Linked DNA regions of Struthio camelus. The protein of the gene in region 1 binds, or shares a complex with, the protein of each later gene. Links are inferred from orthologs where the notes say so. Each region holds a gene or a part of one and is shown on either strand. Other genes may lie near its edges.

What was found. Proteins that work in one complex are often made in the same cells at the same time.
Region 2: DAB2IP (region 1) and DCP1A share a complex: the UniProt entries of both Homo sapiens proteins name them as parts of the cytoplasmic complex. The link is inferred for Struthio camelus from reciprocal best matches to the Homo sapiens genes DAB2IP and DCP1A.

Annotation. Positions count from the first base shown.
Region 1 is NC_090961.1:2,780,290-2,787,197, forward strand, and holds the start of DAB2IP (disabled homolog 2-interacting protein), read right to left. Parts: upstream 3,014-6,908; 5' UTR 2,694-3,013; coding exon 2,552-2,693; exon of another isoform or gene 2,510-2,551; intron 1-2,509. UniProt on the Homo sapiens protein: Functions as a scaffold protein implicated in the regulation of a large spectrum of both general and specialized signaling pathways.
Region 2 is NC_090955.1:17,443,732-17,450,719, reverse strand, and holds the start of DCP1A (mRNA-decapping enzyme 1A), read right to left. Parts: upstream 3,016-6,988; 5' UTR 1,621-3,015; coding exon 1,177-1,620; intron 1-1,176. UniProt on the Homo sapiens protein: Necessary for the degradation of mRNAs, both in normal mRNA turnover and in nonsense-mediated mRNA decay. Removes the 7-methyl guanine cap structure from mRNA molecules, yielding a 5'-phosphorylated mRNA fragment and 7m-GDP.

The DNA.
Region 1 (6,908 bases):
TGGCAGCAGCTGCATCTCATGCGTGCTCCACTGTCAGCTCCAGCATCAGGGATTTATCATCCAGGATTGAGGCAACACAGGCAACAGTGAATAATTCCAGATGGGAAGAAGGGGTGTTTTGCCAGCAGAGATCTCCTCCTCCCCAGTAAATGTGTAACAATTGGTTGGTCCTCAGCAAGTTCTCTGCCCAAAAGCATACTGCTCAAGTGATACACTTTGGAACAGCTCAACCTGCAGGTATCACTGCTCCTCCAGTAGGGCCACAGGCCTACCTAGGCACTGCAGAGATCTTGGCAAAGGGTCTAGAGAAACAGTACAAAGCTGCCAAAGGACAGCAAACACAGAGCTGGCAAACACAGAACTGGCAAAACAGACCATGGCTAATTGATGTGAAATAACTCCAATACTCATGAATTTATGGTAACCTCCCATTAAGGACATCTGATCTTTATGTATCTTAGATAGAGATAGCAAATGACACTGCAGATCAGTATTTGACAAGGTGACCCTCAGTTTCTGCCTTCATCCAGCCTTGTAGGTTTTCAAAATTAACATTAGGTCAACACCAAAGAGTCTAGAACCTCATTCTGATCTCTGCCCTCTGCACAGCTCCCATACCCCTTAAGTTTCATTTTCATTAACTTTCCAGTGGGACAAAACTATCATGAAAAATACTTCTGTTCTAGTCTAGCATTTTCTTTACTCTTTCCAGACTGGCAGCCAGGGCACTACAGTGACAGGTAGCGACTCCAGACTGACTCCTGCCACTGACCTACTGCACGACCTCGCTGTAAGGCACCACCATTCTGCCGCTTGCTTTCTGAATCTGTTACGAAAGCATGTAAAAACAAAGAAAAAATTCTTATCCAGGTTTGCAAATCCGTTCAAGATCTGCAGATGAGAAGAGCTAGAAGTAGTGCTGAGTATTATGATCCTTCTAGCAGGCAGAAATCCCAGAAACAAACTGTGGCAAACAAAATATAGAGAAATAGATCAACAGCAAGACGATTTCAGTTGGTTCAGATCCAATTTCTTACCAACATTAGGACTGATTTCCATTTCAATCAAATTTGCCTGCATATTCCTTGTGTTCGTGACAAATGATGACCATAAGTTCATACTCGGTTACTTTCAGAAACTAACACATTTCATTTGTCACAGTAACTGAAGTGACAGTAAAACATTTTGATTCTGAACAGTATACAAATAAACGGGGAAAAGGAGCTGTTACATGCTTCCGAGTCTACAAACACTTCTCCCTGACAGACAAAACAGAAAAAAAACATGGAAAGAAAAACACTGTCTGCTTAAAGGAAAAGATGAAGCCCAGGGCCTGATTTAGCTTCCTATTGTTTTCTCAGTTATGAGTCAAAATCCTGAAAAATGTACTAGATATCAGGAAAGGAAGAGAGGACATTGCACAATACTGGATTCCACTCTAAAATCTGCTGGGTACATTTGAATTAACTCTAGTAAGACAAATATAAGTCTGGATTTGAACAAGCACCCGATAGAGGATATGGTGTTGGGGTTGTGTTTTTGATTATGGCTTTTTATTCACACAATGACAAGAAAAATCTTTTAAATGAATGGCCTTGATTAATACCCACCAAAAAGTTCAAGATACCATAAATATGACTGGCTTATCACAAGGGAGGCCAAACACAACCCTCTCCCCTTTCTGAATAGGTACTCCAAGAGCAAAATGACGCAAAGATACCCACTTCTTTGACTGCTTTAATGATAGGCATAAGCACCAACAAACATTTATTTCACACGACAAGAGAAAGCCAGAATAGCTTAATTTTTAAAATGCAACTGGGTCAGTAGCTGCCACGAGCAGAATAAATGAGCTACATGAGTGACTATGCCCTAAGGAAACATTACCCTGTGGACCTAACTCCTGCAGCTTAGGACAAATAGGCCCTTTTAGAGCAGGATTTTTAAAAGCGCAAAGTGATTTGGGAATACAAGTCCCATAGGTTTTCACAATGCTCGAGAGCACTATCTCTGGGCTCTTTTGAAAATTCTATCCCTAAACTGTTCTCAGCTGCACAAGGTAGAAACCCCTGGTGATACTTAGCTCATGAAGACGAGCAAGTTCTAGCAATGCGCATATAGGTACCATCGTGTAATCAAGGATTTTCAAATCTCTATAATCATCAATTAGGCCTCCAAACATCCCAGTAAGCTAGAGAAGTACTGTTCCCTTAATTATACCAATAAAAAAAAAAAAAGAGCTATGGATAACTCAAAAGACCAATTTAATTAAAGTTACACAACATGTTAAAACTTGGTGCTTGGGAAGAGCACCCAAGCCTGTACTCCCATAGCTAAGCTCTTAAAACTAAACAGTTCTCCCTCCCCTTACATGACTGCAGCACAGCACAAGCAACCGACTTTTGTAAAGCTCAATGCACACTTCACAGGGAGCAGGTACACTCATGAATATTTGCACGGGTCATTATTATCTACAGTCACCGAGCTACCTGTAAGCAACAGAACGTACGTCTTTGCACTGTCAATTAAACAGAACCGTTGTTGCAATTACCCCTACTAAGCGGCCTGTTCCGGCTCCGGGATCTGCTTCGCTGTCTCTGAAGTCGTGACCTCCGGAGCAGTCGATAGTAGTAAGACGGTCTCCCAGAACTTTTCCTGCTGTTCATTGACATTTTTGTATCTATTTTACACATACACACATGCAGGCACAGGTTCACTCTCCCCCTCTGGCAAAGTAGCAACAGTTCCAGCGTTTAATTAACAGGAGGTTGGTTCTTTGGAGTGGAAAGGGGGAGTGGGGAAGAGGAATTCTTCACTTTATACATTTAAAAAGAAAAACAACAGCAAGAAGAAAACAAAAAAAAGAGAGAGGAAAAAAAAAAAGAACGCAGCACCACGAGTACATGTCTCAGCAGAGGGAGGACTTGCAGCGAGCAAGATAAACTGTACTAACAATTCCTGCCCCCAAAAAGATAAGCCTGCTGGAGTTGGAATAGGAAGCCAGAGTTGGCCTGGGCTCTTGAAAAAACGAAGGAAAGGCTGGAAGAAATCCTGGACTGGATCATCTCCACTGGACAGCAACATCTGATCAAAGCGTACCGGCAAAGGTAAACATCTTGCTGCATGAAAATGTCTGGGCAGCCTTAGTTTCTACCTGCCCCAACCTTCAGATCATTTCGGAGATGGGAGTTTCAGGCAGCTTGGTTTGCAGCAGGAGATATCTACGAAAGACTGGAGTGGGGAAGGGTATAATGATTTCCTGACCATGGGACACATGTTAATAATCATCATGGAGCACAAGCCCCAGAAAATAAAGTGAAACTTGAGAGGGGAAAACTTTAATTAGAACTTGAATGAACAGAGCTTCAGACTCCCCTGGAGGCCCATTTCCTTTCAACATTCAAAATGAGTTATAGCACATCCCACGAAAGAGCCTATGTAGCATTCGGGTTCTGATGGCAGTGAAGATTCTGTCTTCAGCTCATATTGCTCAATAAAATTACATTTCAATGGGCAGAATTAACACTTTAAGCCATGGAGGAAAGGAAAAGAAAAAAAAAACAGAATAACCAGATAAAAAATTTCACTCCGTATTTACAGTAAGATGTGAATTGTCCAGAGTCTTTCATCTGGGCTCCTTCCCTTGCTAGCACAGAAATGCTCTGAAGAAACAGCAGTAGATAAATTTTAGAAGATCAGGCTGCTAGCCAAGAACTTAATGGGCTACCTTTTCTTCTCTGAAGCTGGTATTTACACTCCAAGATAACACAAAAGCCTGATCAGAGCGGAATGAACTCCTGGAAAACAACATCTGCACAATAACTTACTGGTGTTGTACCTTCAATAGCAAAAGGCAGAAATTATCAGTCTTCAGTACCTTCACTGCAACATCTCTAGTTAGTGCTTCATTCACTGAAGGAAAACTGTAGTTCCACAAGAAAGAGTCCCTTCCTCACTACCAACAATCCACTGTAATTTCAGAACTTCATAAACTTGTGTAGTCATGGAAAATGTTAGAATTTTACAAAATCCATTTTTATTTTACATACTGAGTAGTAAAAACATGACTATTAGTTGAGAAAGGCCCTTCCAGGAGAAAAAATAAGTCTCAGTCTTTAGTAAAATCCATGTCTGGTTTTGAAGCCACACATAAAGAATTCAAGCCAGCTTTTAGACAGTGCAGGAATGAGCCAATCAACAAGGCAATGATAAGTTCAGGTCAAGGAAGCAAGATCCCAGCTGGACAACAGAGGCTCCCACTGCCTTGTACCAGGGGGATGTTACACCAGGACATTCCACGGCCGCTTCCATCCAAACGCACCATCACTCAGCAAATCATGCAACACATCACAACAAAAGAGGAAAAAGCTTCAGTTGCTACACAATCTGCCTTCATATTTTCATCCAGACTTTTTGTTTTGATATTTGAGTAGATGTAAAAACAAAACAAAATACAGAAACACCAAAAACATTTTCCAGAAGATTAGAGATTCATCCTATGCAGTCGATTCAATGCACAAATAGAGCTAAGAACTTGTATAAGATAGTGATGGGAAAGTCTGAAAATATTGACGTATCACAGGCAAGAAGCCAAATATTCGGGTGTCTCTCCGCGTTTATGTGTCCTAATAATTGAGCTGGTAATCTCTTATGAGAATCTTTATAAGATTACGCTTTAGATCATTAGAAATGCCTTGAAAATAGCCTATCCAATTTATTTTTCCTTTTGTCATTCCCAACAACAAAAAGGCAGAGAGGGAAATTAAAGTTTAAACAAAGATGTTATTTAAAAAGCTCACCCAAATTCAGAGGGTCTGAAAGGGTAAGGTTCACTTAGTTTGGTTTTGCTTAATTGGAACCAGGTGGCTCATCCTCAAACCACCTGGGATGTTGGTGAGATAGTCACTGGTGATCGTGCCAACCTCTCTGAACAGGTGGGAATGATCAGGAGATCTAGGGTGATGGGCCTGCATTCGTTGTGCGTTCACTCACATGTACTTAGGCATCTGTTCCATGTTGAGGGATTTTTTTAAATCAACCTAATACCTCCAAGAAATGTTCATGCAGGTGACCAGAAAACAGGAGAAGTTAATGAGGGACTATAAACTATCATGACAAGAGAAAGCCTTATAATAAAAGCACAAACGGCTGGGAGCTTTGTTCAAGTTTAGCGAGCTTGCCTCTGTTTCTCTCTCACTGCCTCAATGTTTTTGAAGGCATTAAGTTCAGCTGCTACACAGCAGCAAGCAACAAAATGAATGACCCATCTGGGAGGGAATGTGGCTGGTCTGGACCTTTCCAATTAATCTAGAGCTGCCTTCCCCTCCCCCCACTTTTCTTGAAAGCCACATCCTGACACAAACATTCTTTTGTGTACAGCAGAATCTACCACGTGCAAATCTGAGATATATTAACTGCCCTGGAGAAAAGCTGACAACCTTAAAATTTCTATCTCTAAAATGACACATCACAGTCTGGCCAGGCTGTTCCCTCCAAAAAGCAGCAGGATGAGTTCAGTCATTGGACTCTACTGAATCTCTCAATAAGAGGACCAAATTGAGCCAAATGTAGCAGTGATTTCTTAGGTGCTAACCACCATACACTGAACAGAAACCTAACTCATGAAATTAAATATCCATCCGACCTGCAACATCCAGTTGACCTGTCCTCCCCTGCCGTATGTTTGCGTTATCTTATTATTAAGCCTTCCTAAAACTGGACTTATTTCACTTCTTTACTAAAACTAACAGCACATGCATAAATTTTAAATTAGCACCAAAATAAGTTCTAAGATGGAGAGCTACACAATCAGTGGTGTGTTTGCTTTGACATCAAAGGGGCAGCAGTTGCCTGAGGGTTTGCTCAGCTACAGTGGGGCTGTTTGGTCCATGGAAGCTGACAGAAGACATCCCTCCCCAGTGGCTAATACTTGGCTTTTTTATCATTTGTTTATTGCTTAGTGCTGGGGAAATAATGACTGCTTTTCAAAACCCACATTCCCAAGGCAGCTCCTACCATTAAACCTCTCACTTTCCCAAAGGGCTTTAGAGGGAAACAATTATTAACTCTCTGTGATTTTATGGCAAAGAATTTGAATTCTTTATTCTTAAAATGAAAGTTCCAGTGCTTGGTCATTACATCCAAGTCCTGGCCCCAAATGCTCTATTTGCAAAGGTATGAGACCACACTAGCTTCTCTACACAATTAATTAATGGCCTCTTAACTTAGACTGCTTTCTAGAGGACAACAGTTTTAGTTAATTTTATTTCAGTTTTGCAAATTCTTTCTGAAAGAACTAAACTGAGACTTTCAAAAGTTTAAAAAAAAAAAAGTTGTTCCTTAGCTGGTACAGAAAGGACAAGTGGTGGACATTAGCACAATTTCTAGTTTGCACTGGTCGGTATCATCAAGATACTGAAAAAAATCACTGGCTGCAGCCTGTCATAACTACACTGCTTCTGAGAAATAATTATATTTCTTTCACAGTCTGAGGCAAAAGGAATAAGGGAATAATCCCTAAACATACTTACTTACCTTTTTAGACATAAAAGAAATATAACAATATTCTTACAGGATCATAGACACTTGCAGAATGTGTCTGCTTGAATTTGCTTACAAGTTCAGTGCAATTTTCAGTTTAGCATACTATGAAGCTGGACTATTTCCAGGCTTATTGCCTCAAGGCTACCAGGAATACATAAGTTCATATGCAAAGCCAGAGAGGAAAATAATTTCCTTTGTATAAGGGTAACTTACTTTCAATTCAGCTATACCAACAGAAGTAGAACAGACTTGGTTTTCAAGCAGCAGTGTAAAAGAAGTTTGTGCTGAAAACATTCAACTCTAGCCTTCTTCATGTCCTAACCTCCCAACAGTTAGGTTTTCCAAACCTATTCTTTACCTCATCA
Region 2 (6,988 bases), on another chromosome or scaffold:
TTTTATTTAAGGGTTACGCTTGTTCACACAAACATGTAGCTTTTGTGCAGCATTTTAATTACAGGGAATAATATTCTTGTCTTTCCACAAGGAAGCTTGACAGCTTAGAATAAAAATCTAATTTCCTGTTTTTAGAAAATACTTTTTTTTTCCATTAGCAAAATCAGTATATTAAACCTATCTCCTACAAGATTTTGTTCATGCCATCAACACGATATGACATGTTCTGCAACTCTTCTATGAGCATGAATGGTCTGAGTTGAACACCTTTCTCCTGACTCCTTATTTTAAACGTGGACTGAAGTCCATTAGTCTGCAAATAGGTTGTCCTTCATAATTGTTATTTAAACGATTACAACAACAGTATATACAACAACAAAGCAATATAACTAAGTACCAGCACTGTGTAAAACTAAGTACTACTGTTTTGCTTCATACTTTGTAAGTTAAACAAAAGCAGCTGTTCCTATCTGCAAGCGGCTTGTGACACATACGTATGGGAACTTGCATACAGCTCCAGTGCAGTCCATCAGTTGAGTTCCACATATTTTAAGTTTTTATAATTTTGAGATGAAACAGTAGCAGTCAGAGGTCCTGAGCAAGGCATAAGATAGCTGTCCTCTGAACCTTTTAAGAAGCGGGCTGACCTAGGCTCTTACCCTCAGCTATATCCTTTTTAACCTAACAGAGACAACTACACTTAAACCACAGAGCAAGAGGCCTCAGACAAAAACTGTGTTTTAATGCAAGACTGAATAATATTTCCTCAACTCCTGTTCTCCCCACATTAAGGCTCTGAACTACCCATTAAGAACAAAAACAAAAGATCACACTTGGGAAAAAAAAAAAAAAAAAAAGGCAATCCGGCAACAGCCCCCACGAGCCGAGGAGGCCTGAAGGAGCACCACTGTCCCGCAGGCAGATGCGCCTTCCCCTCATCTCCTGGGGTGTAAACGGGGCGGGCGGCAGGCCGCGGCGAGGCACCGGCAGCTCAAACCTCCCCCCGGCAGCAGCGGCCCAGGGCGGAGGCGAAGGCGCCGGCGCCGTCCCCGGCGGGGGGCCGCCCGGGGCGGGCACGGGCGGCCGGAGCCCCCCCCCCCGCAGCTCCCAACGGCCGCGGCGGGCCGGGCCGCCCGCTGCCGCCCTCCCCCGCTCATGCCGCTGCCTCTCACTTACCCACTCGTTGGCCTTGGGGCTGAAGCTGTAGAGCGCTACCTGGCCGGTCACGTCGGCGATGCTGGTGATGTAGGGGTCGTGCTGCTTTAAGGCCGCCAGGCTGATCTCCTGCCCCGCTCTGCTCAGCGACTCCATCTTGGATCCCGGCAGCAACCGCGGGGGCGGGCAAGAAACGGCGGCGCGGCGTCCCCGGCGCACCCGTCCCCGCCGCCGGCCGGAGCGCCGGCCCCGCGCCTGCCGTTCCGCGCCGCGCCGCGCCGTTCCGTTCCGTTCCGCTCCGCTCCGCTCCGCTCCGCTCCGTGCCCGGCCGCCCCCGCCGCCTCCTTCGCCCGGAAATAAGCCTCGAGCCTTCGGTGCTCGCCGCCTTCGGGTTTTGTTGGGGGCGCTCTGACCACTCGATGACACTGCCGTTTGTGGAAGGGTACACGTTGACCCGACTGCCATTGAACTGCAGGGCCTGGGCCGTCTGGCTTAAAAATGAAAACGCTTTTCAAGTTTGAGGGTTAACGTTCAGCTGACACCCAACAGTTAGAAGGGGGCATCTCTGAGCTTTCCCGTATGTCCGTCCGCAGGCACCGAGGGTTTCCTCGGTTGCCGTACGCCGTGTCCCGGAGGCCTCTGCCCCGCGCCCCCGCCAGCCCAGCGCTGGGGCCGTGAGCAGGTGGCCCGGATCCCCTCGGGCCCCGGGTGCCCCGGGTGGGCCCCCCCGGCGCTATGGCTGAAGGGGGTCCAGCCCTCCCGGCACGGAGGGATCCCGACCTCCAGCCCCGGCCGAGCCCCGTGCCTTGTCCCCTCGGGCCCGCTGCCCTGCATTTGCAGCCCACCGTCTTCTTCCGAGCTGTTTCTCCACGCCTGGGCGTTTCTTCATGGCAATGGGACAGGTTAAGCAAAGGTCTCCGCGTTGCACCCGCTGTGAGCGGTCATTGTTTCTATCGTTGTCATTTATTTGCTAGCGTTACTAGTATGAAGGCTTCTGAGTTCGCGGCAGGCAAGCGCGCGAGGGGCTGCGAGCTGGGTCATGGGGTGGCGGAGCGACCTCCCCGTGGTCGGTGGTGTCTGTTCCCTCCCGCTCTCCCTGGGCCACGCAGCCGAGAAGCGGGTGGGTGGGAGGTTGTTCCTGCCGGGCGTCCGCTGCGGCGGGCGCCGTCGGGGAGCGGAGCCTGCTGAGGAGGGCGACGGCGGGTGGCGCGCAGAGCTGCGGTCTCTGCCTCGGGGGCTCCCCACGCTTCTCGCAGCTATTCACCATTAGCTGGTGTCCGAATGCTTCACAGTCTGCAGCAGGACTTGGAGTTTCCAATATGTTAAAAGAATTTTGGAATTAAGAACTTTCAATTTTCTCAGGTATAGTAGACATAGCAACTCGCGTATGTGGTACAAATTGTACGCAAGTAATGTTGGAGCAATGACAAGGTAACATGCTGTGCTCTCTCAGCTTTGTTCCTGCAATTTTTTTTTAATCGTAAGTGATATTTTAGCAACAGGAAAGTATAAAATATACACTTAGGACCAAGACATGAATAACATTCAAAACAATATCACAGGGATTTACACTTGGTAGCATTTTGTGCAATCTGACAGGAATAAAACAGCATTGTAAATTTCGAAACAAAACCATCTTTGTGGCAAGATGGTTTCTTTCTGACCCTTCTGGGAATGCAAGGAAGTTCCTCTAAGCTCTGTATTACCAGGTCATGTTCTTCGTTGCAGGCAGACACACTCCTGATTTTAATTCAATTAGCTTTTCAGTTTAGACTTCTCCCGCAATGACAGACGCTTAATGCACAAGCATCAGCAATGATCCAGCAGGTCTGTGGCTCAATAAAACATCTTCCTCATGAACAATGGACAGGCCCAGTTCCGGTATCATTTTTTTCCGTAAAAGTAAAGCTTCTTGGAATGAACATTAATTTATGTCTTTTGTTGTTAAATAGTTCTAATTTAAAGTAAGCAGACATTTTTTAGAAAAAAAAAAGTGAAGTTTGGACAAAAAATTCCCATGTAGCTCATTCCAATAACTCACAGCTGAATCCTTAGACCTAAGCATCAGTAAAAAAAAAAAAATCATAAAAATCATATGATATGTCTTAGAGAGTTCTATGAAACTTTCATCCCCTTCTAATGATTTTTACCACAGGAGGGCATGATCTATTCCATAAAATTTGGCTTTTCACTGGTTCTGTTAGTAAAGTGTGTAAAGCTGTTCTCATCAAAGAGCAAACAATGACAGTTAGCATAATGTTAAAAATATCTTCATGTAAAATGTCCAATTACTATTCAGTAACACTCTAACTTGAGAAAAGATAGTATGTAGAAGTTAACATTTGAAAATTTTTTAACAAGAGGGTGTTCAACATTCTAAGGGCTCAAGTGAAACAGCAACAAAATGACAAAAACCTTTTAACATTTTATTTTAAATGGCATCTTTAACACCTGCACCAATCTACTCCTTTCTTTTGAGTCAGACTCAAGCAAGACTACTGTAAAGCAAAGATATATTTCAAAGTAAGAAACTTCTTGACAAAGGACAGCTTTCTGCTGTGCCAGATCTTCTCAAGCATGAAAACTCCTTGGCTGCGTCTTGAATTAAAAGTGAAGCATGAGGAGCATTGATAACAAAAACAAGTGGTGGTTTCCGCTTATGGATTGTTTTCCTCCTTCATCTGCTAATTCCAATTCTGCCTTACAGAGAATGTATTCTCTCTGCCCTTCTTCACTGCTATTGCCTTAGAATGAAATATTTTATATCAGAAATGAGTCATACGGCCTACCATCTGCTTCCTCAACCTTGAAGTACACCAAAGTATAACATATACTTAGCCTCAAACTTTGACCTCAGTGTAAACTGAAATGTTAGTTATATCCATTTAGGCTTGTTCTATGACTATTATATTTTGCAGATATCTTTGTCCTTCTTTGGAGTTACTCAGCAGTTAGTGCTGGGGAAATGTTCATCTCTCACTATTTCTGATTCTTGCGCTAAACCAGACAGAAGTGGGATGATGTAGATAATGCCCTTCTGATGTTTTCTCTGTGAGTGGGACAGATTCCATTTGTGTTTCAACAAGTGAAGAGAACATTATGTTCTGTATTTCAGTTATTCAGCTGAGGTTTTACAGGACAGGACATGCTGGTTTATACCTTAAGTACTGTTAATCTGTTTGATACAAATTAATGTTCAAATAGGCTAAATAATAAGACCCTTTTTTACCCCTTCAGTTGCTTGTGACAGCATGACTGGGTCTTTCTATTGCTCCCTGCTCTACTCTTTGGAGTTGTGCAAACTCTTTTTCTTTTTCACACAGCAGATTGTTTAAATATTCCTAAAGCGTATTTGGAGCACAGTCACTCCTTTCAGACTTGATAGAGAAAAAGTCTTCTTCAGTGTGCAGTCCCTTTAGTTTTCCCCTGTCAGCTGAATATCATTAGGAAGGAATATATTGCTACTGTTAAGATGATGGAGAAGGGCAGTAAGCATTCCTAGTCAATGCATTTTCTGTTATTACTAAAAGGAGAAGTAGGGCGCAGTAGATTTGAGCATTCACACAAGTCTGAGTGACTCATAGAGCTAATATTCTATCTTTGCTGTTTTCCACTTGAAAAAACTGTCAGAAGTTTCTGGTATCATAAGATATTCTGCAAATGACAACGCTTTTATTGGTTTGCTTATTGATATTTTCCTTGAATTGTAATAGCTTGGTGTATTTATTAATAATTTTATTGGTATTCATACCTTACATTTCAATGATAATGACTCTAATTCTACAGACTCCATTTATTTGGGTTTAGTCCTTGCTAGTGCAAATTGCCCTGATGATGACTTTCTTCACCTATAACTTAGTGGACTTTTATTTTGTATTTTAATTCCCTGAGCAAGCCTGCAGATGCATAATCTGTCCTTTTTATGGGGGATGCCAATTTCTGTTATTGAAAAGGGGTTAAAACAAGAAGCGAGGATGCTAGAAATTTTCTAGGGTTGCCATTTTGTTTGCAAAATCATTTTATTTCACAGGAAGAATTACTTGAGGATTTTTATTTGCTTATTACTTATTACAATATTTACTTCAGCTGAATTCTTTCCTTTACTGTGAATTTGCATTCGATCTTTTCCACTGGCGAGGCTGCCATTTCCTGATACTCAGTCTCCTTTCTATGTACAAATAATTCTTCATGTGCTGAGTTTCCAACCTGATAGAGAATAACTGAAAACTGCTAGAGTTTGAGATAAGGATCCATCACTTTGTAGATGAGATTTGTAGAAATCTTGTCTTTTGAGGATTAGCACAAAAATGGGCTTTTATGCATACTCAACAACAGTTTATAGCATATTTATGTACTTCAAGAAAAATTACCTTGCCTGGCACTTACTCTGCTCTTTACTCTGGGAGTGCTGAATGAATCACAAGCTTTTCATAGATCTTCAGACTTGCAGTATGCTCGTCCTGTACTGATGCTGCATCTACAGAGACCTTATTGCAAATCCATGGTCACAGATACTTATTTTCAGTGAAAAATCTTTTCCCACCTTTAGAGAAAAGTTTTCTAAATTGTTACATAGTACAGTGCTATGTAGTGGCCACATTTTTAGTTCTAACTGAGTTTTTTAAAATTTGGATACTCTTTAGTATCTGTTGGTCACCACTCAATTTCCTTTTATCCTTCTTCCCTTGGTTACTCAACTAAACTTGTTAGATCACTTGCTGATTGTCATTAGAATAATGTACCTCCAGATGTGCAACTGGTATCTTTCCCTTGGACTTTTAGCAACTAATTCCATGATAAATTTGTGCATTCATAGTGTCCTACTTGGGTGATACACTTAACAAGAATTGTAGGCAAACTGAGGAGACTCCAGAAGAAAGCTAGAAGAATGGCAAAAGCCTTGGAAAACATGCCTTGTAAGAGAAAGCAAAATGAATTACTAAGTTGCTTAGTCAAAAGAAACAGAAAATTAAAAGAGAACATGACTGTATTTTGATGTGTAAGAGGTTGTTACAGAAAGTGGTTATTCTCCACAGCTACTGGCAAAAGGACAAGATGAAATCAGGTTAACGCGCAGCAAAAAAAATTAGGCTGAATTCCTAACAATTCTGATCAGTAGGAATAGGTAAGGAATATAACAAGCTACCAAAGGATGCTATGGCATTTCCTTCACTTCTGTTTTTTAAGACCAAATGATACAGCATCTGTCAGGATGGTCTTCACATACTTGGTCCTACCTCTGTACAGAGGCTTTTAGTTAAGGTAATTATTCCATTCTGCTATTGTATCAATTTCCTCCCACCCTTCACAGGAGATTACTACCCTTTTATTTGTGCCAAGTGAATTGTTCAAGTCAGATTTATGAAATGAGCTAACCATATATTTCTACAGTTCTTCACACTGAAAGGGACAGTTTCTGGCCTGGGTTTTGTCTAAAGAACTGGGTTCTTTTGGGGACGACATCTGCAAATACACTATGGATGGATAGAGAGCAGTGCTAATCTAAAAAAATAAAATCCATGGGATTCTCCTTTTTTTTGGAAGATTGTTGCTTTGAAGTGACAACATATAAGAAAGTTTTGGGACTGCATACCTACCCAGCTGTAGGTATGGGCTTTTTACTGTTTCTGCGCTCTACCTAAAATAGAGATAATGTGTAACCATTTTGTAAAGTATCTGAGTTCCTCAGAGAAAATCCTGCAATACTGAAATCTGAATTTAGCTACAAATTACTTTGGGCTCATTTCTTTCATATAACAGTTGCAGTCATGATTCTGTAACAGGAATGGATGATTTTTTCTTTTTTTCTTTCCTTTTTTTCGCTGTGAAGTTG